Linked DNA regions of Oryctolagus cuniculus. The protein of the gene in region 2 purifies or fractionates together with the protein of the main gene of each other region. This does not show direct contact. Links are inferred from orthologs where the notes say so. Each region holds a gene or a part of one and is shown on either strand. Other genes may lie near its edges.

Region 1 (11,426 bases), on a different chromosome or scaffold from region 2:
GCCACCCCCCCCACACCCACCTACCCACATCCTTGACCCAATTCCTGTCTGGAGCCCTCCCCTCTCACCCAGGAGAGAAAGCCCTCTCCCTTCTGCCCAAGGCCAGGGACTCTCCCTGGTGTCCCTGGCTCTGGCTGGAGGCAGCCAGCCCTCCTCCCTGCCCCCGGGTGTCGCCCCCTACCCAACTGTTGGGCACCCCCAGTCCCTGAGGCTGGGTGGGGGGAGGGGGCTCAGAGACCTGAGTGGTCACTTGGCCCCCCTGGAGGTGGGCAGGAGCGGGGCCCAGGCCCAGGCCCGGCCAAGGCTGTGCTGGAACCAGAGGCCTCATCAGGTTGCTGCGAGTGGTGGCTAAAAATACAGCCATGCGGGCCAGTGTGAGCCATGACCCGGAGGCCAGAGGCAGGACCCCAGGAGCCCCAGACCGGGAAGCACAGGGAGGTGGATGAGACACCTGGGAGGTGCTCGAGCCAAGGGCAGGCCAGGTGGGCAGGGGCGGCTGCAGGGGACCTGGTGTGTGGCTCTGCAGGGGCTGGACTCGCTGGCCTCAGCCCCCCACCCAGCCGGAGTACAGGGGCCCCATCGGGACAGCTGGGTAGAAGTTGGGGGCCGGACCGGCTCAGAGGGAAGCCCCGGCACCCCAGCCTCGGGGTCACATGTCCGCTTGGCCAGAAACGCCCCGTGGAGCCCTTGGACTTGTGGTCGCTCCTTCCCCTCTGGCCTCGGATGGCCTGGAACTTGGACAACGGCAGTCAGCCATTCACCAAACCCAGGGCATTTTTCAGGCTCTGGCGGGCCACAGAGCGCAAGGCACCCAGCATGGTCGCTCCTACCAGCAAACAACAAGAGGCTGGTCTCGCTGTGGAGTCAGACCCGGTGACCAGCACAGAAATCAGGGGGTGAGCAGAGCTACTCACACGCCATCACCCACCAGTCACCCCTTGGGGAGACCGTGTATTCCAGGCGGGGACAGAATGGTGAGGAAGACCCCTGGGGTGGGGGAGAGAGTACAAGGCCTGACGCAAAGAGGTCCCTGCCAGACCGGGGGCGGTGTGCCCTCTGGAAGCAAGGCCGCAGGGGGACGGCAGAGGGCTCCCCGGGGGGCGCGGGGAGACGGTGTCTGTGTGAGAGCTGGGCGGGGAGGAGGGAGAGCAGGCCCAGCCCCGGAACCCTGAGACCCTGGTGGATAACATGGGGGCACCACCAACCCAGCCAGGAGCCCTCGCTGCCTGCTCTGCACAGCCTTCCTAGCAATGCGGGAGGAGGAAGCCCCCTCCCGCCCCACACCCAGGCCTCACCCCAACTCCCCCTTCTCCTGCATGCGTGCTGCACTTGACCTGGGCAGTACACGCTCTGCCTTTAATTCCCCTGGGCAGACTCCGCCATTCCACCTCCCGGGCTGACTTCCAGCAGGAGGCGGCGTCCCTGGAGCTCGGGGGCCGAGCGACTGGGGACAAGTTCCTGCAGCTCTCTCCGAGCCTCAGTTTTTCATCTGTAAAATGGGTATGGCCTCAACCTGCCTGGCTTGTTGGGAGGATTTCACAGATGTACCATACACGTTAGCCTCCTGCTCTTTGCCTCCCAGGCAAGAAACACCTTGTTGTCTTTGGTCCTGCCTGCACAGTGATTAAGTGCAGACTTGAGCCAGACGGCCTGGTTCAAAGCCTCGTTCTCTCACTAGCTGTGCCACCTCAGGCAAATCACTCGCGTCCTCTGTGCCCCTTGGCCAGGGCAGGGGCTCGGGGCGGCCATTACTAGTCCCCGCCTCCCTACAGTGTTGACTTGTCCCTGGCCTGGCAGATGCTTGATGATGATCAACATTGTCTGAGAACATGAACGTGATGAGGAGACAGCCCCGCGGACCCGAGACACGGCCACGAAGGACGCGGCCGAGCACCAGTGCGCCAGCAGCCCAAGCGCCCGGCAGGTCAGGTGCCACCTCCAAGTAAACCCCGGATAATCCCCACGCCAGGAGTTAATCCGTACTCCCCCGGGCCTCCCCGGGCTGCCACCTTGTCTCCCTTCCTCTCATTCTCCCCCACTTCTTTGCTTAACCCAGAGCAGGAAGGAAGAGCAGTCCCGGGCACGGCGTGCAGCCCAGCGGAGTCCAAGGGTGGCGGGGGCAGAGCCAGCGCTGGCTGACCCCAGAGCTTGCAGGCACGCAGCCAGCCCAGGCAAGCAGCCTGGCTCCCGGGGGGGCAGGGGAGGCTCTGTGGATGGCGCAGGCCGAGGACCAGTGACCACAAACAGCAGGGAGGGCCAATGGAGGCCACGCCGGATTCTGCATGGTTCCTGCAGCCAGCCAGCAGCCAGGCCCGGCAGGGCGGGGCTCTGGCCAGTCTCCCAGCACCGCCCTCCTTGACCTGGGAGCTGAGGGCAGAACAGAGCGAGGCAGCTGCTGCCCTCCTGTGGCCACTCCTCAGAAGGCACTGCTGCCCTTCCGGGTAAGAGAACCCAGCGTCCCAGGAGGCACCTGCCGGCCTCCCTCCCCACCTCTCCCTGCAGGGCCTACTCCCACACCCCCACAGGTCAGGCCCCGTCCCCATCCCCTCCTAACTGGAGGCTTCTTAGACTGCGACTCCCCTTCAGACAGCCGCCCCAAGTGTCCCTGGTGCTCCCTGGGAGCACACCGCGTGGCGCTGTCCATGGCTCCGTGTCCCCCGCATTCCAAACCCCAGGCTGTGCCGGGCCAGCCGCAGGCTGCTCAGCTGAGTGTGTGTGATGTGAGGCGTGGGAGACCCATCGGGAGAAAACACAAGGTCTTTCTGTATTTATTTAACAAAACATTCACAAGCCTGACCTCACTCGCCGACACAAACCACACAGCCGGGACTCACCACGCACACCAGGCCTTGGGACAAAGGCTGTCAAGCACTCGGAAGGAATGAACACAGGCAGCTGGGGGCAGCTTTGGTCAGAGAGGGTCCTGGTCCCACACCCAGGGGGAGGCAATAAATAGGATCGTGGGCCAGCCCGCTTTGGTACAGTGTGGGTGCCCTGACGCAGGGCCCCTGGCACCAGCAGCTCTCAGCCAGCAGGTGGCTGGCACAGGTGCCCTGCAGGGCACAAGGCAAGAGCAGGCCAGCCTCTGCTGACCCTAGCTGTCCATGTCAGAGGGCACCGTCTTTTTCCTTGTCCGAACCTTCAGGGAGCGCGAGGTGGCCTGGGGGTGGGGGAGAGCAGGCACCCAGTGAGAGGGGAGGGCTGGCAGGGCTGGCAGAGCCCCCTCCCCCTCCCCACACCCTCCTCCACCGACCTCCCGCGTGGGCGGCTTCCTCTTCACCACCCGCAGGCTCTGGCTGCGGCTCAGCGGCTTCTCTCTGGGCCGGGCAGGCGGCTTGGAGGCGACCTCCGTGTCCGACCAACATTCCTCGTCTGTGTCGCTGTCCTGCAGGCCCCCGGCCCGGTACCCTGTAGGGAGAGCAGGCCCAGGGGAGGCCAGGACGGGCATTGACGCGGGGTTTCCAGCAGCCAGCCATGGGGGAGGCCACGGCTCTCGGCCGTCCCTCTGCCCACTCACCGATGGGAGGCCTCCTGCAGGGAACCTGGTCCTCCAGGTAGAGGGGGTCCTGGTAGCCGGGGGCGGGGGCGTCGGCGTCCGGGATGCTGCGCAGGTCCTGCATGGAGAAGCTCCGCAGCCGGCCGGCCAGCGCGCCCTGGCTCTGTGTGGGCGGGAGCCAGGGAGGGCACTCAGGGGGCGGAGCCGGCCGGGGCTGACCGTCCACCACCCACTGGTGCATGCGCCTGTGAGCACACCCACACGCGGCAACTTGGCAACCTTAGGTCAAGGTCACTCCTGCTTAGCATGGCGGGGTTGGGGGGGCTGCACATCCTGCTCAGGGCGGGGGTGGGGGGACTGCATGTCCTGCTCAGGATGGGGGGCACGGGGCGGGGTATGCACATCCTGCTGGGGCGGGGCTGCCCAGGGCACCTTGGCAGCGGCCTGCACGGCGGCCGAGGCCGCGATGTTGAGGCCCCGCTTCCCGAAGCTGAGCACTGTCTCGTAGCTGCGCTCCTTGGCCTGCACAATGTACGTGTCGATCTCCTGTGGACCCAGGCGACCAGGGCGGTTCAGGCGCCTGCCCCCGCCTCTGCCAACCCTGAGGGGGTCCCCGGGGCGGGGGCGGGTACCTTCTCGTGGCGGGACAGGGACGGGTGGACAAACTTGCGGTAGAGCAGGCTGGCTCCCCTGGTGTAGGGCGACAGCAGCCACAGCACAAAGGCCATCTTGATCTCGTAGTAGAAGGGGAACCTGGTGGGGGCGGGGGCACAGGTGAGCCGGGAGGCGCGCGTGGCCTGTGGGCCACCCCTGCCCCGCAAACACCCCATGCCCGCACCAGGAGACGAAGATGTCGGTGAAGGTCTCGGCCGCCATGAAGATGGCAAAGACGATCCAGTACATCATCCAGCGGACCTGCGGGTGGGCGGGCAGGCAGGGCGGGGGTCAGCGGCCAAGCCAGGCCTGGCCCTGTCTGGCCCAGCCTGGATTCCACAGAGCCCGCCCTGCTGCACTGCTGCGTTCCCCGGTGCTGCTCAGCCCTGCACACACCCCTGGCCGGCTTCGCCCACAGGAGCCCCGGCGGTGGGCGGCACCCTCTCCCCTGCACCACGGCCACGTGGCCGGGCCTGGTCTCTGCAGGTGCACTTGGGTCATTGTCCCCCGCCCCGGAGGAGGGGCGACCAGCTCAGCCTTCACACACCTTGCCCACGGGAGCCCCGCGGTGGGTGGCACCCTCTCCCCTGCACCACGGCCATGTGGCCGGGCCTGGTCTCTGCAGGTGCACTTGGGTCATTGTCCCCCGCCCCGGAGGAGGGGCAGCCAGCTCAGCCCCTGCCCCACTCACATATTCACGAATGTTCTTGGTCTTCACGGCTTTGTAGGACGCATAGGCAGGGTACAGCATCCCAAACACCAGCCTGGAAGAAGAGGCACAGGGTGGGTGAGGGGCCCCACCCTGCCCTGCTTGGAGGGGGTGCCGGGTGCCAGCGCCGGCCCTGTTTTTCCCGCTTGGCTTGCACAACCCGAGGTGCCTGAGTCAGTGTCCTGGAGGCCACCTCCCCACCCCGCTGTTTACAAACAGCCCCGGCCTGCCCGGGCCTGCACCGGTGGCCCATGGGTGCACGACGGAGCCAGGACACAGCCACCCAACAGGCTCCCACGGCCATGTGAGCGGGCCCAGGGCCACCAGCCAGGGATGCACGGGCAGCACAGAGCCAGGAGGCTGAGTCACGTGACTCGCTCACCTGGGAGGCAGGCACCTGGCTTCCCCCGCCCAGCCCACAACGTGCCATATCACCGGGCGTTCGCCAAGGGGCAGTGCCCGCCTGCAGCCCTCAGCCCACACACCTGCTTGCAGGGCTTGGGGGAAGGGGTCGCCAGCAGCCCAGGAGAGGGCCCAAAGTCCATTCCCCTCGCGGTGTAGGGGGGAGGAGCGCAGGGCCCCCGGCCCACGCACCTGTCTGCAGGGCCGGGGGGGAGGGGTCGCCAGCAGCCCAGGAGGGCAGGGGAGGGGGCCGAGCGTGCGCGGGCTGCCCGCAGCTCCGTTCCCCTCGCGGTGCAGGGGGGAGGCGCGCAGGGCCCCCGACCCACCACCAGGCCCCCGGCCCACCACACCCCGGGCGGCGCCTGGGGACGCGGTGGGGGGGGGGTGTCTTCAGGCGGCCGTACTCACACCACCAGGCGGCAGATCATCCAGGACACCATGCTGGAGGGGAGGGCAGCGCCCCGGGAACACGCCCACGTGGGGGCCGCGCCGGTCAGCGCAGGTGCGGGGTCGCCGGCGGCGGGGAGTCCGGCCCGGGGCCGGCACGTCGCAGCCTGCGCGCCTGCGGGTCGCCGCGGTCCCACCGCGCCGGCCACCGGCCACCGGCTCCGGCCTGCGGGGGCGGAGTCTGCGACTCACTTGAAAGTTGCTCGGCGCTGGGCGCTGCCCAACCCCAGCGCGCCGGCGGGCGGCGCAGGCGCAGTGCGGCCTCGAGGGGCGGGGCTTGCTCCGGCGCGAGGCCCGCCCCTTAAAGGGGCCGCGCGCCTCGGGGCGACTCCTGCCTGGGAGGACAGGTGCAGGGGGCGGAAGCCGCCGAGGACGGCCGGCAGTCGGGCGGGAAGAAGTGCGGTGGCGGGCCGGCTTCTCTCCGCGTGTTTCCCTCTCGCCTCGTTCCCCTCCCCTGTAAAATAAGACGGAATCGGCGTCTGAGGAGGGCGGGGGCTCTCCCCGGGACCCTCGGGCACCTGCTGGGAGAAGGCTCCTCTGAGTGTCCATTACCACCCCAGGGTGCTGGGCTGACCGAGGGGAAGGGGCGAAGCCGAGGGACTCAAGGCGATTTGGGGGTTCCCTCCTGCCACCCTCGGGCTGACTGGTGATTCCAGAGAGTGGCGGTGAGCCCCCAGCTCCCCCACACCTTCTCCCCCAGGCCTGCCCAGTCAGTACCCTGGGAGGTAAGCAGTAGCTGGGAGCGCGCGCGCGCCAGTTGTGGGGTGCGTAGGCCTGGCATGTGGCGAAGCCGGTTAAGCCACCGATCCCGCCCCGTTTTGAGTCCTGGCTGCTCAATTCAATCCGCTTGGAAGCCGCTTCCAATCCAGCTCCCTGCTAATGCACCAGCGAGAGATGGCCCAAGCGCTTGGGTCCCTGCATCCACGTGGGAGACCTGGAACCTGGCTTCAGCCTGGCCCGAGCTCCCCGTCCCCCACGCTTGGCCATTTGGAGAGTGAGCCAGCAGATGGAAGATTCTCTCCTCTCTCTGTCACTCTGCTTTTCAAATCAATACAGCACATCTTTTTAAAAGAAATCTTTCCATTAGGAGGTGCCCCAGCCAGTGAGCAACAGGGGTTTGTACAAAGTTCACCCTGTGGAGTTCATTGCTGCTGCCAGCCCTGACGGCTCAGCAGTAGGGGCTGAGGGAGCCCCAGAGCTGGGGGACGTGGACCGAAACATTCCCTGGGGGAAGGTGTAGGCATGGTGTTCGTAAAGCTCCTGGAAAATACCCAGCGGAGGAGGAGAGCTGCCCTCTGGTGGTTCACTCCTCAAATGCCCACAATGGCCAGGGCTGCACCTGCAACCTGGAAATTCAACCCAGGTCTCCCTGTGGGCCAGGAACCCAGTTACTGGAACAGTCACCTGCTGCGTCCAGGAGGCAGAGCTAGCCCAGGTGCTGTGGTGTGGACTGGGATGTCCCAATCGGCATCTTAATAGCCAAGCCAAATGCCCACTGTGTTAGCGTGTGACTCCATTCTCCATGAACTTTTGTATTTTAGTTTTTTTAAAAAATCATTTTCATTGTATTTGAAAGCCAGAGAAATGGAGAGATATCTTCCATCTGCAGATTCACTCCCCGGATGCCTGCTACAGCCGTGGCCAGGTCAGACTGAGACCAGGAGCCAGGAACTCAGTCTGGTCTCCCACGTGGGTGGCAGGGGGGCCAAGTACTTGAGCCACTGCCTGCTCACCTCCCAGAGTGGGCATTAGCAGGGAGCTGGATTGGATGCAGAGGAGCCGGGACTTGAACCCCAGGCCCTCCGGCATGTTCCCTCTGAACACCGGGGGAACACTGTCCCCGCTCCCCGTGGTGCGCTGAGGCGAGGGTGGGAGCCAAGCTGCTCTGAGCTGCCTCGGGGCTATGGGGACTTTTTAGGAGAGCATCCTTGCAGAAGATGGCTTAGTCCTGATGGGAGCCCTGCGGAGGAGGCAGGAGGCGTCTTGGGGAGAGATAAACACCCGTGATTACAGGCTCCTACTTATTAGCATCAATTTTATGGTGGTGCTGGGTGTGAGAGCCAGCAGTGAAACCGGCCCGGGACCCCCGCCCCCGCCCTGGAGGGACAAGAAAGGTGGGGGCGGCGGATCCCCTGGGGAAGGTGCCAGCCTCATGCATCTCCAGGTGTCCTGGGCGGGGGGGAGGCTGTGTCACTGGCCAAGGGCACCAGCTCCAGGACCTGGGGGTGGCTGTGCACAGGAGCCTTGAGCCTTCTCCCGCATGGCTGCCTTCTGGAACCTGCCCTTGACCTCAGCATCACAGGCCTGTCCTGACCCCCTCTGCTGAAGGCAGCTCACCTGTGTCCACCCGGAGCCCTCCCGGCTGCGACGGTGCCTCATACGAAGGCCCCCCGCTCTCCCTGCTGGTGCCCGCAGAAGTCTAAGGGGCTCAGCACGGAACAGCGTGAGGCTGGCTGCAGGGGACTGGGGACCGTCACCTCCTCCTGGGCAGTGGCGTGGCCTTTGCCCTTGAGCTGTTGACACAGTGGCTTGGTTCCACAGGGTTGCTAAGCAGCTCTCTGGACACAGGGATGAGCTCCAGGGCAGGTGACCAAGGCAGCCAGGCCCAAGCTGGGCGTGCAGAGGTCAAGGGAGAGATGGAGCCTCCCAGCCACTGGAGGAGCTCCCGGTTTTCTCTCTCCCCGGGACAACACATGCCGCCGTGTCTGGGACACTCAGCCCACTGTCCCTGGCAACCTCTCTCGCACACAGGCCGGGAGCCTGTTAACCCTGCTTTTTTAAGATTTTATTTTTTATTCATTTTATTTGAGAGGTAGGGCTACAAATAGAGGGAGAGACAGAGAGAGAAGTCTTTCATCAGCCAGTTCACTCTCCAGAAGGCTATAATGGCCAGAGCTGGGCCAGTCCGAAGCCAGGAGCCAGGAACTTCTTCCAGGTTCCCCACATGGGTGCAGGGGCCTAAGGACTTGGGCCATCTTCTACTGCTTTTCCCGGCCATAGCAGAGAGCTGGATCAGAAGTGGAGCAGCTGGGATTTGAACCGGCACCAGTATGGGTTCCGGTCTGCAGGCAGAGGCTTAGCCCACTACGCCACAGTGCAGGCGTTCCCAGGATGGGAAGACTGAGGGGTGCCTGCGAAGCCGAGAGCACACGAGCGAGGTAGAAGGAGGCAGCGACCCAGAGCAGACACCCGCTCACGAGGAGTGGTTTGGGGCAGGCTGGCTGGCATCTGAGGCCAGAGAGGACGTAAAGCTCGCAGGCTCTGAGACTGGGGAGGGACGAGGAGCCCCTGCCCGCAGCTGGCCACTCCTCTGTCCACTCCCACAAAGCTGCCCTCTCTGTGTGCCTCTGCACCTCCTAGCTTCCCATGGACCAATAGGAGTCACATTACGTGCCAGGCACACTATTCTAAGGGGCTCCCATATATGGATATATATTCAACGCCCTTAAATCTCGTGATGAATGATGCTGTCCAGTAGATCCCATGATTATACCCATCTCGTAGGTGGAGAAACTGAGACCCACATAGGCTAAGTGTCAGGAGCTAGTGAGCTGGTAGAATCAGGACTCCAGAAAATGGGTTTTGTTATCTGCTTTGCATAAGGGCTGACCTGCCTTGAGATCTCACATGAAGTGAAGGGGCCAAGCCTAAGTCCACATGCTCACAAGCTAGACCCCAGAGCGCAGCGTGACAGCCACTGCACAGCATGTGAACAGAGTGACCCCCGGGCTGTCACCTCGAGTCTCCTTCCCCTGTGCAGCACTGCTCACAGGTGCTTGCCACATGGCAAATGACACCTGAAAATGGAAAGGGTCCCTGGGGGCCCAGAGAGGGAAAGTGACCTGCCCCAGGTCACCCAGCGGGGCACCCCTGCCTGAGGGGTTATCATTTCCCCATCCTGTCACTGGCTCAGCTTTCCACGTGCTCAAGTCCTTGGGTGGAGAGGGAGGGACCGTGCAACAATGCCCCTGTTTTGCCAGACAATGCCTGTGTGCTTTTCCCAAGACCTCCGCTACTCACACGCAGATCTTAGAAAATGTTTGTGGGAAAATGGAATTAAATGATACATCTATTTGGATGCATGCAAAATGTGAAATGCATGCACAGTTTTCTCATATGTATTTCCCATGAAAAGATGGCTCGTAGGCTGGATTCCCATGACAGCCCGCATCTGACTCCTCCCTCCCTCCCCTTTTATCCCCAGCTGTCTTAACCTCCATCGTCGTTGGAGATGGTAAGGGGCCCTGGACGCATACAGTGGGACATTAATGCTGGGCAGAGGGGCGTGGACTTGTTGCAGAACAAGGGTGCGGAGGCGGGTTCCTGGGCTGGGGGTGGTGTAATGGAAAGATGTTTTACAGCCACACGAGAAGGGCGTGAGAAGCAGGTTGGCGGGATGACATCCAAGGAGGCCTGAGACAATGAGTGGCGAGGGAGGGTTTGGACAAAGCTTGTGGCAGAGAAGGGACAGAGAACAGCACCCATGTGGAAATAGCGTTGGGATGCAGAATGGAGAGGGAGAATGGGGACAGGACCTGTGAAGCTGCCCCAGCTGGGCAGCCTGCAGAGGTGGGGGCGGGGGTGACAGGTGGGACCGCTGGGTTGGTCTTGGCCCCGCTGATGGACAGACTCAGGTAATGGGGCAGTCCCCAGGATCACGGGGTTGGGGGGGCAGTGAGTCAGCCCTAGGTGGTGAAGACGAGTCACCCTGGCTCAGCACCCGAGTGTCATCACCATGAACTCCTGACCCGAGCGCCAGCCAGCCTTGGGGCTACCCACTGCTCCCCCCGAGGGAAAGGGGCCAGGAGGAGTAGGAGGGTCTGGAAGTCATACGGCCCCTTCTGTGCAGCCACCCTGCTCCGTCCTTAACGAGACACCTTGATGACACCTGAGAGCCAGGAAGGGGGTGGAGCTTTTTATTTGAAGCAGGTGAGTCACAGCATTGCCCCCCCCCCAAGTGGCCCGGGATACCCTTGCACACGGAGCCCCACACAATCTGGGCACCAGGGAGGGAGGTGCCCCTGCTGCTCCCGCCTCTCATCCCAGGGCAGTGCGCCCCAGCGCTCAGCAGGGGGCAGCAGACGCTGGGCTCCCACCTGCGCCTTCCACAGGCTCCTGGCAGGCGGCTCAGGCTCAGCCTTCCTGGAGAGGCAGTGCCCCCGGGTGCGCCTCTGGGCTGGAAGGGAGCTGGGGCCCCCAAGGTGTTCTCCAGCCATACTCCCCTCCTGCACCTGCACAGGTGGCTCAGGTGCGTGCTGGTTCCCTGACTCTTCCAGGTGTGTGTAACCACAGCCCAGGGGTCCACGTCCCAGGGGGTAGTCGGAGCCCAAGGAGGCGACAGTGACAGGAGGAGAAACAGGCTTCGTCTGGATGGAGTTGGATCCACGGTGGGCTGGGGCTCAGGGTCAGGGGAACCTCCAGGGAGAACAGGGAGACACAGCTGGGGAGAAGCGGGGCTGTGCTACATCTATTACTATTATTGCTTTGGGCCAGGGGGCTTTGCTCCCAGGAGGCCGGGCTGGCACCGCCCTTGCCATCCCGAGTAGTAGCAGAGGAGGCACGCTGAGGGGTGGGCGAGGAGGAGCGAGGGGCACCGTGGGCCCCCCTGCAGGAAGAGGCAAGGTGATGCGGCGGGGAGCCCGGGCGGCAGCGGCAGTTCTGCGCATGTGCACACACCCCTCAATGCGCAGTGACTCGTGGAGATGGGAGTGGAGGACG
Region 2 (11,087 bases):
AGCACAGCGCAGGGGCCGCATCTGATTCCCAACTCAAGCTGGTTTTTAAAAAACCAAAGTATCAGTTACATTAATGAGAAAACAGGACAGCTGAACTGTGACCAGAAATTGCTAGTATTTTCACTTGTGGTGATGGTAGTAGTTTCTTTTAAAAAGCCTATTTTTCAGACATATTTACAGATTAAATGATATTATACCCAGGATTTGCCTCAAAATGATACAGAGGGCGTGGAAAAAGAATCAGAAGACACAAAATTGGCCATAAATCAGAAAAACTTTAAGTAGGGTACATGTTAGCCCATCCCTAAAAGTTAGAGACCGTCACCCACATACTCTAAAATGTGGGCAGAGATTATTCCCGTCATTAAAAAAAATCCATATATAAGGTCACTGTGGAAGTAAATGACATACCTGGTTTTAAAACCTTTTCACTTCATAATACACAGACATGTTTTTCCACGTTGCCAGAAAAGCATGAAGAACTTTTAAAATGACTACACTATGTATATAACATTAAAGTCCCTAATTAAACTCAGATGTTTCCAGTTTCTGATATAATGAAGAAAAGCTGGACTTCATCTTGTTGAGCAGGAATCTCTGTCCCTGTGATTAACTACCTTAAGAGGAATTACTGACTCAAAAGGCATTAACTTTTCAAAATAACAGCTTTATTGGCAGAGACTGCATTCGGTAAACCTCACCATATTACATGAATTCAACAGTTTGTAGTATAGTCACAGAGCTGTGTAACTATCACCATTATCTAACGTTAGAACATTTTCATCACCCCAAAAGAAACCCTTATGCACCGACGACTCGTGTCCCTAGCCCTGGAAAAGCTATGAACTTTCAAAGTATCCCCGCACAAGCTGCCAGACTACTGAGGAAGGCTGCAACTGAAGTTCCTGCCAGCCAGGGCCCACTTTACCGTATTTGCCGAATTAAATATTATCACATTTCAAACTGGATACGCAGAAATTAGAAACTCATTGCCACTCAAATTTTTTAATTGCTCCCAAGAGTGAAATCTTAGATAATCACTGATTTCCCCCCTTTTGTAAACTGCACCTCCACTTTGAAAGGGGATAAAAACCCAATTAAACTATCATTCTAAGGAAGCAGAGCAACCTGGTATCCAGAAAGATTGTGAGACATTCTAGGACCAAATGCACTATTTTCTAGTTAATATACCGCAGTTCCAGACCGTTAGTGCAGGTACGTTAGGGTTCATTAAAATCAGAAGAGATGGCCAAATGCCTGTTTTCAAGCAAAGCAAAGAAGATGGCATTTCTTGGTCCCTTTGTTAGGGCAGAGCGAGTGTCTCAGTGGCACTTCAGAACAAAGCTTCCCAGCCTACAGGGACAGTCGGCCCATTATTGTACTGCACTTGTCACTGCCTGCTTAATGAACCAGTCACTGGTGATTTAGCAGCAAAGAATTAACCCAGCCTACATCACGTAATGATAGTTGCTGCTCGCACAAAACCAGAAATGAAACCACCTCGCTGCTCCTGCCCCGCGGGATGCTAATGAAGAGAAAGCAGCACCCTTGCAACGAGGACAGCCGACCTGCGCAAACTAAACCGAGGCCGCCTAGGGAGGCCCCCGCTGCCCAGGGCAACAGAAGCCCTCCAAACCCACCATCAGGGACACCTGCTCAGCTGTGTCCATCCACAATTCCACGAGTAACTGTTTCTTCCCACAGAAATCACACTTAAGTGGCCCTAATCGTCCATTTCCTCTTCCCCACTTCTGTTTTTCATCCAAATTCTAACCTTTTAAAACACAATTTTTGTATACCCTTAATCATTCAAGTCAGTTTTTTAGAGGGAAGAGGGCCCCCCTTTTTTTTCATTTGTGGAAACAACAGATTGCCCGCCAGTCCCCAGAAGCACAGCACAGCACAGCACAGCAGGGCCCAGCCTGCAGACTGCTGTCAGGATCCCCAGTTCACAGCCCACCCAGGATCACAGGAAGGAAAGGAGCTGGTGGTCGCCCAGCCCTGCCGGAGCGGAAGGGGAGCAGGGGGCCTGGAACTCATGCTCCTGTCCAGCGCTCGTCTGCCCTCCCCTGACAGCCAGGAGTATGACCCAACACCCAAGACTTAGTTGAACCTGTTCTTTCCTGATCCTGCCAGGACGCACGCTGGCTGTGGAGTTCTTCCCCCAGGTCTCTCAGTTACAGCTGGGGTGGAGGCTAATGAAAATGCAAGCGATCAGTCCAGAGCCAAGAACAGAGGCTGAGTGACCAGAAGTAACCCAGGCGGGAAGATTTCTGATAATTTACCATACCGTACTTGCTCTGCAACCAGAGAGATAGAAAGAACGAAACGAAAGCACTGAAACACTCCAGCTGCTGGGACCTGAGCCGATCTCTAGCTCTGACGGTTTTGTTTTTAAGATGGAAGGGGGCACAGACACAGGTACAGGAAGCCATGACAGGGAACACGGAGCACTGAGAGGTAAGAGATACCCACCTGAATCTGACTCCTATCCAATCTTCTAATGTTTCAAAAATGCCTAAAACACCCCAGTAAATGATGTGCCATTACTCACAACAGATAATGAAAGAACCGTGAAGCATTTCAGATTTGATTTTTCTAGTCCAAGTTGATGCTCCTCCCTTTCCTAAACATTTAAAATGCCTGAGAGGGGCCAGCGTTGAGGAGTTCCAGGTAATGCTGCTGCCTGCTGTGCTGGCATCCCATATGGGCACCAGTTCGAGTCCTGGCTACTCCACTTCCGATCCAGCTCTCTGCTCTGGCCTGGGAAAGCAGTGGAAGATGGCCCAAGTGCTTGGGCCCTGCACCCACACAGGAGACCCTGAAGAAGCTCCTGGCTCCTGGTTTCGGATCAGCGCAGCTCCGGCCGTTGTGGCCATTTGGGGAGTAAACCAGCAAATGGAAGACCTCTCTCTCTCTCTCTCTCTCTCTCTCCCTCCCTCCCTCCCTCCCTCCCTCCCTCTCGGCCTCTGCCTCTGCCTCTGTAACTGCCTTTCAAATAAATAAATCAAACTAAAAACCAAAACAAACAAACAAAAAACCCACAACTCTTGTTTCTCCCTCAAGTCACGCCCTCACTTCGCCATATCTCCCCACCTTCCTGGGGTGTGATGGGAATGTAGCCAGTATGGTGTTCGGGATACCCAGCTGCAAGGCCAATGATAAAGACCGATGCCAGCAATGCTTTAAGAGTCAGGAGGACAAAAAGGGGCTCTGGGTGAGAGTCTAAACAGCACTGTAAGCTTGAGGACATCCTACCCACGGCCAGCAAACTAAAGGTCAAGGGGTGGCCCAGGCAGAGCAGTTACCTGCAGGCAAACCTCCACCTCACGTCTGCTTCAGAAACCTCTCAGGAAAGGCATGTGTGAAGCCCCCACCTCAGAAACAACATCTATGCCAACAACTGCTTATTTGCATTAATCAAGTTTTGGTTTAAAATTCATTTAAATCAGAGGCAAGCATTAGGCCCAGAGGTTAAGACGCTGCTTGGGACGCCTGATCCCATATCAGACAACCTGGGTTTGCATCCCAGCTCAGCTCCCAATTCCACCTTCCTGCTAATGCACACTCTGGACTCAAGTCCCCTGACATCCATGTGGAAGGCCTGGGTTAAGTTCTGGGTTCCTGGCTTTGGTCTGGCCCAGTTCCTGGCCCACTGCAGGCAATTGGGGAGTGAACCAGAGGTTGGAAGATCCCTCTGCCTTTCAAATAAAAATAAATAAAAATTTAAAACTCAGGGCCCGCATTGTGGTGTAGCAGGTAACACTGCTGCCTGCAATGCTGGCATCCCATGTGGCTGCTAGTTGGAGTCCCAGCTGCTCCACTTCCAATCCAGCTGCCTGCTTGTGTTCCTGGGAAAGCAGTGGAAGATGGCCCAAGTGCTTAGGCCCCTGCAACCACACAGAAGACTCAAAAGAAGCTCCTGGCTCCTTGCTTCGGACCAGCCCAGCTCCAGCCATTGCAGCCACTTGGGAAGTGAACCAGCAGATGCAAGATCTCTGTCTCTCCCTCTCTATAACTCTGCCTGTCAAGTAAACAAATAAATACATTTTTTTTGACAGAGTTATAGACAGTGAGAGAAAGAGACAGACAAAAAGGTCTTCCTTCCATTGGTTCACCCCCAAATGGCCGCTACAGCTGGCGCTGCGCCTATCCAAAGCCAGGAGCCAGGTGCTCCCTCCCGGTCTCCCACGAGGGTGTAGGCACCCAAGCACCTGGGCTATCCTCCACTGCCTTCCCGGGCCACAGCAGAGAGCTGGACTGGAAGAGGAGCAGCTGGGACTAGAACCCGGTGCCCATATGGGATGCCGATGCTGCAGACGGAGGATTAACCAACTGAGCCACGGTGCCGGCCCCCAAATAAATACATTTTTTAAAAAAGATTTAAAACTTATTTAAGGGGCTGCCGTGTGCTGTAGCAGGTTAAGCCACCACCTGCCACACAGCACCCCATATGCGCACTGGTTCAACTCCCAGCTGCTGGGCTTCTGATCTAGCCCCCTTGCTAACGCACCTGGGGAAAACAGCAGATAATGGCCCAAGTGCTTGGGCCCCTGCGTCCATGTAGGAGACCCAGATAGAGTTCCTGGCTCCTGGTTTTAGCCTAGCCCAGCCTGGCCCAGCCTGGCCATTGCCGTCATTTGAGTGAACCACCGAATGGAAGATCTCTGTTTCTGTCTCTCTCTCTCCTTCCCTGTAATCCTGCCTTTCAAATAAATAAATCTTAAAAAAAAAAAAAAAAAAAACTCATTTAAATCCTCATGAAGATTTTTTTTTCCCATCAGCCAGTCATACTGACACAAATTCGTTTTATGAGAACTAACGTTCTCCCGAGAGGTATCAAACGCCCGGAATGAGGAGCTAGACATCGAGGGGAAGGAAGTGGGTCCCTCGTGTGGGGGAGGGGAGGTCAAAGAAGCATCACCAAAACACAGTGACTACCGTAGAAGAAAGTTTGTCATCCAGCTTGCTAAGGGCCCTGGAGGCAACAAATCTGCGAGAGACAGCTCTGACACCTTTAACTTGGGGCTCTTGCAGACTGGGAGAGGATTCGCTTCGAAGCTGAACACTGCCTTCCCCGCCAACGAACGTGGAATTATTTGCTCTCCAGCTCACACGCTTTAACTCGAAAATCGAGAATTCCACTGGAAAGCTAGCTTTAAAAACACACACTTTGTTTCAGGCTTGTCCCAAATGGTTTTCATTCAGTTGTCCATGCCAGTTCCCCTGGAGTTGGATCCGTAATACCTCCTTAGTTATTATTAAGTTCAAATTATGCTCGGTACAGCCTATGAACACACAAGTCCCCTGCAGGTGACCAGAGAGGAGTTGTTCGGAGAGCAGGACGCAGCGGTGCCAGTGTCGGCTCTGGTAACGCGCACACACCATCAGCTACCCTCCACCTGCTCGCTTACAAATGCTGGCTGAGGACGCCTCCCTCCCGCGTCCCCCCCACAATCACCAGCTCATCGGTGTCTCTGTTTTGTTTAAAGCTCTGGAGGTTCACACCGAGACGCGGGTTTCACCAACTTCCAGAAGTGGGCGAGCAAACCTCGAACATGCTAATTCACGCGAAGCGCTCCAGCCTGTTTGCTCCCCACACCTCCATCCGGCGCCCGTGCAAGACCTGCCTCCACTCCCGACAGGAACGACTGTGTCCGGGGCCGGTCTGCGCGGCGCCCCTGAGCAGACGGGGAAGGGGAGGCGATGGTCTCAGAGGACCACAGCGCTCCCGAGCTAGGAAGGCGCCCTCGCACAGAGCGAGCGGCTCGAGAGCGTCCCCGCAGCTGCTGCCGGGTGTGCGGGCCGAGGGCGCGGGTGCGGGTCAAGCAGGGGAGACAGCTGGAAGGGCCCCCGGGGGGAACCGGGGCGCCCAAGCCTGGAGGCGGGATGCAGTGGAAGGGGGCGAGGTAGAGAGGCAAGTGCAGAAGGGGCCAGTGCAGCGAGGACAACAGGGCAGGCAAGAGGCAGCGCCCTACGGAAACCTGACGGATTCGCGCCTCGGGGAGTTCCCGAGGGTCCAGTTCTCTCACCAGAAAGCCGCGTTCAGCCCCAGGCACCACAGGGCGCTCCTGGCCGGCCGCTCCCACACCAGGGCTGCCTGCACTCGGCTCAGGAGAGGCTCGTAGGGCCCCAGCACCTCCACCAGGGCCCGTTGCACCGCCTCCACCTGCTGGTCCCGCTCCCAGGAGCCTGACATAGCGCGGCGGCCCCGGAGAGCCGGCCCAGAAGATGGGCCCGGGGCCGCGGCCACCCCCTCTGGCTCCGCCATCTCCCCCCCGGCAGCCACAGCATCCGGGGCCGCGGCCCGACAGTCACAATAACACCGACTGCGCAGACGCGCGCCTTGGCGGCGGAGGCAGGCCTCCGGACCCGCGCGCTTGCGCACAGGCGCCAGCCCGCGCCCGCCGGGAGGCGGGGAGGACGCAGCGTCAGAGCGCGCCGAGCCCGGGCCGGAGCGGCGCACGCGCAGTCTGCTCGGCTGAAGCCAAACGAATAAGGAAGTTCTCATTGGAGCGCAGAAAGTTCGCGGGTGGAGCGGGTGTGCAGCGCCTGCGTCCTGCGGCGAGCGGGCGGACTAGCGGCGGCGTTGCTGGCGGGAGCGGCTGCAACGCCGGTGCCTGAGGAGCGATGCCGAGGGAGATCATCACCTTACAGTTGGGCCAGTGCGGCAATCAGAGTGAGCGACCCTCCGGCCCGTCCGCTCGCCGGGTTGCTGAGGTTCCGTGGGATCCGCCGCCCTTCCCAGAATCGTAATTCTGCGAAAGGCGGGACGTCCCTGACCCAGGGTCCGGTTGCCCTACCCCGAGGGGCCCTCCTTGCCCGGTCGCGAACGTGCAGCCCTTTTCCCCACACACGGGCGAGTCCTCACGCTGACCCCTGTTCCCAGGCGCTCGGTCCCCCAGCTGGCAATCGGAACCTGCCCAGACCCACATATCCTGTTTCTTCCCCCAGTTGGGTTCGAGTTCTGGAAACAGCTGTGCGCCGAGCATGGTATCAGCCCCGAGGGCATCGTGGAGGAGTTCGCCACCGAGGGCACGGACCGCAAGGACGTCTTTTTCTACCAGGTGCCCCCGGCGGCTGGGCCAGGACCCCGGGGGCCTGAAGGGACGGGGCAGGGGCTGGTGCTGGGGAGCCCGCTGGGCACAGGGCCCCGCGGCTGGCTCGGGGAGGGAGGCCCGGCAGGAGCCCGAGTGGGACTGGACTGGGGCCTGGGCCGGCGGTGGCGCCGGCTGACGGGGCCGCCCCTTCCCGGCCTCTCGCTGGCAGGCCGATGATGAGCACTACATCCCGCGGGCCGTGCTGCTGGACCTGGAGCCCCGGGTGATCCACTCCATCCTCAACTCTCCCTACGCCAAGCTCTACAACCCGGAGAACATCTACCTGGCTGAGCACGGAGGAGGAGCTGGCAACAACTGGGCCAGTGGATTCTCCCAGGTCATTTGCTATTCCCTGGCACCACCTACAGCTCCCTACGTGGGGAGAAGCCCTGTGACTTCCCAGAGAGATGGAGAAAGACCAGGGATGTGTGAGCGCTGGAGGGAGAGAGACACAGGCTATGGGGTTAAACGTGTGACACAGGTATCATGAGGAGCAGCCGTAGTCCTACCTGCCAGGCTCTTCCAAGCGCTTTCCATGTGCTTGGTTATGTAAAGCTCCCAGCACCTCCAGAGATGGGCACTACAGGCCCACAGCATGTGATCTGCCTTTCCGGAATCCAGAAAACTCAGAAAGTGCAGGTTTATAACTCACTTAGCAGCAAAAAACATACCTCAGTGGAAACAGGCTATTTTATAGGGTTTTTAAAAAATGTATTTGGGCCGGCGCCACAGCTCAATAGGCTAATCCTTCCCCTGCGGTGCCGGCACCCCATCCGGGTCCCAGTCGGGGCACCGGATTCTGTCCCGGTTGCCCGTCTTCCAGGCCAGCTCTCTGCTGTGGCCCGAGAAGGCAGTGGAGGATGGCCCAGGTCCTTGGGCCCTGCACCCGCATGGGAGACCAGGAGAGGCACCTGGCTCCTGGCTTCGGATCAGTGCGGTGCACCAGCTGCAGCGTGCCAGCCACAGCGGCCATTGGAGGGTGAACCAACGGTAAAGGAAGACCTTTCTCTCTCTCTCCCTCTCTCTCTCACTGTCCACTCTGCCTGTCAAAAAAAAAAAAAAATGTATTTGAAAAGCAGAGTATCATTGAGAGATGGGTAGAGAGAGATCTTCCATCCACTGATTCATTCCCCAAATTGCCCCAACAGCCATAGCTGGGCCAGACGGAAGCTAGGAGCCAGTAGTGGGAGGGAGATACCAAGATCTTTCCTGTGGTTCACTCCCCAGATGGTCACAAACAGCCAGGGCTGGTCCAGGCTGAAGCTAAGAGCCAGGAACTCCACCCTGGTCTCCCGCGTGGTGTCAAGGGCCCAACTGCTTGGGCCCTCATCTGCTTTCCCAGGCACATTAGGAGGAAGCTGGATGGGAAGCAGAGCAGCTGAGACTGCGGGATGCTGGGTCGCAGGCAGAGGCTTGGCCCACAGCACCACAACGCTGGCCCCAGTTCCAAAGACTGTAGATAAGGGCCTGTGGGCCTGTGTTACTCCTTCCATTGTATAGGTCCAGAAAAGGGCAGAGTAACCTGCCCGGAGTCACTTAGCTGCATGGGACAAGAGGTAACGTGTGAACCCAGGTAATCAGAGTGGAGGACTTGTGACCTCCGTGCTGTGTAGCCTCTCGAGGCAGGTAAAAAGGCAGCTGCGCTCCCGAAACAGACTCGGTGGTACCGGAGGGGAACTGAGGATGGCTGCTGTGTGAGCGGTGTTGTCCCTCAGTCCTGTGCACGCTGACCCTCCCCGTGTCTGCACAGGGAGAGAAGATCCACGAGGACATCTTTGACATCATAGACCGGGAGGCGGATGGCAGTGACAGTCTGGAGGTGAGTGTCGCAGGAGAGCCGGTGGGAAGGCTCGGTAGCACCCTGACGAGCCCCTGTTGGGCACAAGACCCACGTGTGTGCCCTCTGCACTGGACAGAAGCCACGGGCCTTCCCGAAGACAAGGCAGAGTCCCCCAAGCTGTAAGGGCACTGGAAGGAAAGGGAGGGCTTGAGAAGATAGGAATCCAAGAAATGATGGGATGGATCAAGTTTGAAATCCTGGACTCCGCCCCTTCTTCACGCAGGGCTTCGTGCTGTGTCACTCCATCGCTGGGGGGACAGGCTCTGGCCTGGGCTCCTACCTCTTGGAACGGCTGAATGACAGGTAGGAGCCCGAGAGGCCCTGCGGGGAAGCCTCCCCGTCCGCTGCAGCGGGCAGAGCCTTGCTGTGTTTAGTGAGGAGAGTGGAGCCACTGTTGAGAACCCAACTGCACTCCCAGCAGTGGGTAGAATCTGGGCCCTGGCCGAAGGTCCAGAGGGTGTGGCCAGGTTGGGAGTTGGAACCCTAGGCACCAGGGTGTCTCTCTGCCCTTCCTCCTTTCGGGCTGCAGGGTTTCAATGTCAAGTCTCCCTTCTCTGTGTCTCGGGACCCCATCTGCTTCCCTGTGGACCAGTAGCGGCGTCGATCTGTTGCGTGGATACTCTGTTCCTGCCCCCCTCAGGTACCCCAAGAAGCTGGTGCAGACCTACTCGGTGTTTCCCAACCAGGACGAGATGAGCGACGTGGTGGTCCAGCCCTACAACTCGCTCCTCACACTTAAGCGGCTGACTCAGAATGCGGACTGCGTGGTGAGTCCTGGTGTCTACTTGTCCCCACTCCCAACCCCTGTCCATTTAATCACTTTCGTGTATTTAAAATGTCTGTTATGTCTCATCAAAGTGGCATGTACCAATGCCATCTCACTAGTCAAAGTGATCAGTTTCAGTTCATAATTGATCATAATGATAGGATTAAGTGTCTAGGGGTCACATAAATAAGACTAGTGTCTGCTAATACTAACTGATAGAATTAAAAAGGAGAGAATGATCCAACATGGGAAGCGGGATACACAGCAGACTCATAGAATGGCAGATGTCCTCAACAGCACTCTGACCTCAGAATCAGCCCTTAAGGCATTCAGATCTGGCTAAAAAGCCCATGAGAGTGTTTCAGGCATAGAAAGCCAAGACACTCTGGCAAAAAAAAAAAAACCTAAATGAAAGATCTCTGTGAGTGAGATCCCAGCAGAAAGAACAGGCCATCAAAGAAGGAGGTACCTTTCTCTGAAGGGAGGAGAGAACGTCCACTTTGACTATGGCCTTGTCTAAATAAGATAGGAGTTGGCGAACTCAAGAGGCTTCCATAGCCTTGGCAACTCATGACAAGAGCCTCGGGTGATTACTGATGCCATAAACAAGAGTGTCAATTGTTAATTCAATAACAGGAGTCACTGTGCACTTACTCCCCATGTAGGATCTCTGTCCTTAATGTGTTGTACTATGTGAGTTAACTGTATAACTAGTACTCAAACAGTACTTTATACTTTCTGTTTCTATGTGGGGGCAAACTGTTGAAATCTTTACTTAATATATATAAATTGATCGTCTGTATATAAAGATAATTGAAAATGAATCTTGATGAAGAATGGGATGAGAGAGGGAGTGGGAGATGGGATGGTTGTGGGTGGGAGGGTGGTTATGAGGGGGAAAGCTGCTATAACCCAAACATTGTACTTTGGAAATTTATATTTATTAAATAAAAGTTAAAAAAAAGTCTGTTTTGAGGTGGTTGGGCATTCAGCCTGCTGGTTAGATGCTTGTGTCCCACACCGGAGCTCCTAGGGTCAGTGCCCGGCTCCAGCTCCAGCTCCTGCTGATGCAGACCCTGAGAGGCAGCCGTGACGGCTCAGGTAGTTTAGGTTCTTGCCCCCACGCAGCGTTGGCCTCAGCAGTTGCAGACGGAAGCTCTCTGCTCTCTGCCTCTCAAGTAAATACTTTATTAGAATGCCCGCTTTGAGCCTTTCTGTGCCTTTTTAGTGTGCATTTCTGACCATGTGTGCAAGATCCTTTTTGATGGGCCTTTCTGGAAATGAAACGCAAGGTCTCAGGGCCCAGGCTCAGGCAGGGCTCCTGATTCTCCCATCCCCATACATCTGCCACCCTCGTCTGTCCCCTCCAGGTGGTGCTGGA

What was found.
Region 1: the proteins of RETREG3 (region 2) and REEP4 purify together in Homo sapiens (affinity purification with mass spectrometry; 3 studies listed by BioGRID and IntAct, with this or other methods). This does not show direct contact. The link is inferred for Oryctolagus cuniculus from reciprocal best matches to the Homo sapiens genes RETREG3 and REEP4.

Annotation. Positions count from the first base shown.
Region 1 is NC_091439.1:1,162,881-1,174,306, reverse strand, and holds REEP4 (receptor expression-enhancing protein 4), read right to left. Parts: upstream 5,922-11,426; 5' UTR 5,702-5,921; coding exon 5,670-5,701; intron 4,915-5,669; coding exon 4,842-4,914; intron 4,412-4,841; coding exon 4,335-4,411; intron 4,250-4,334; coding exon 4,129-4,249; intron 4,043-4,128; coding exon 3,929-4,042; intron 3,660-3,928; coding exon 3,518-3,659; intron 3,409-3,517; coding exon 3,254-3,408; intron 3,161-3,253; coding exon 3,095-3,160; 3' UTR 2,753-3,094; downstream 1-2,752. UniProt on the Homo sapiens protein: Microtubule-binding protein required to ensure proper cell division and nuclear envelope reassembly by sequestering the endoplasmic reticulum away from chromosomes during mitosis.
Region 2 is NC_091448.1:20,270,869-20,281,955, reverse strand, and holds the start of RETREG3 (reticulophagy regulator 3), read right to left. Parts: upstream 6,391-11,087; 5' UTR 6,272-6,390; coding exon 6,033-6,271; intron 1-6,032. Other genes in the region: tubulin gamma-1 chain, read left to right, coding at 6,631-6,679, 6,955-7,067, 7,270-7,437, 8,851-8,919, 9,164-9,243, 9,581-9,707, 11,077-11,087. UniProt on the Homo sapiens protein: Endoplasmic reticulum (ER)-anchored autophagy regulator which exists in an inactive state under basal conditions but is activated following cellular stress.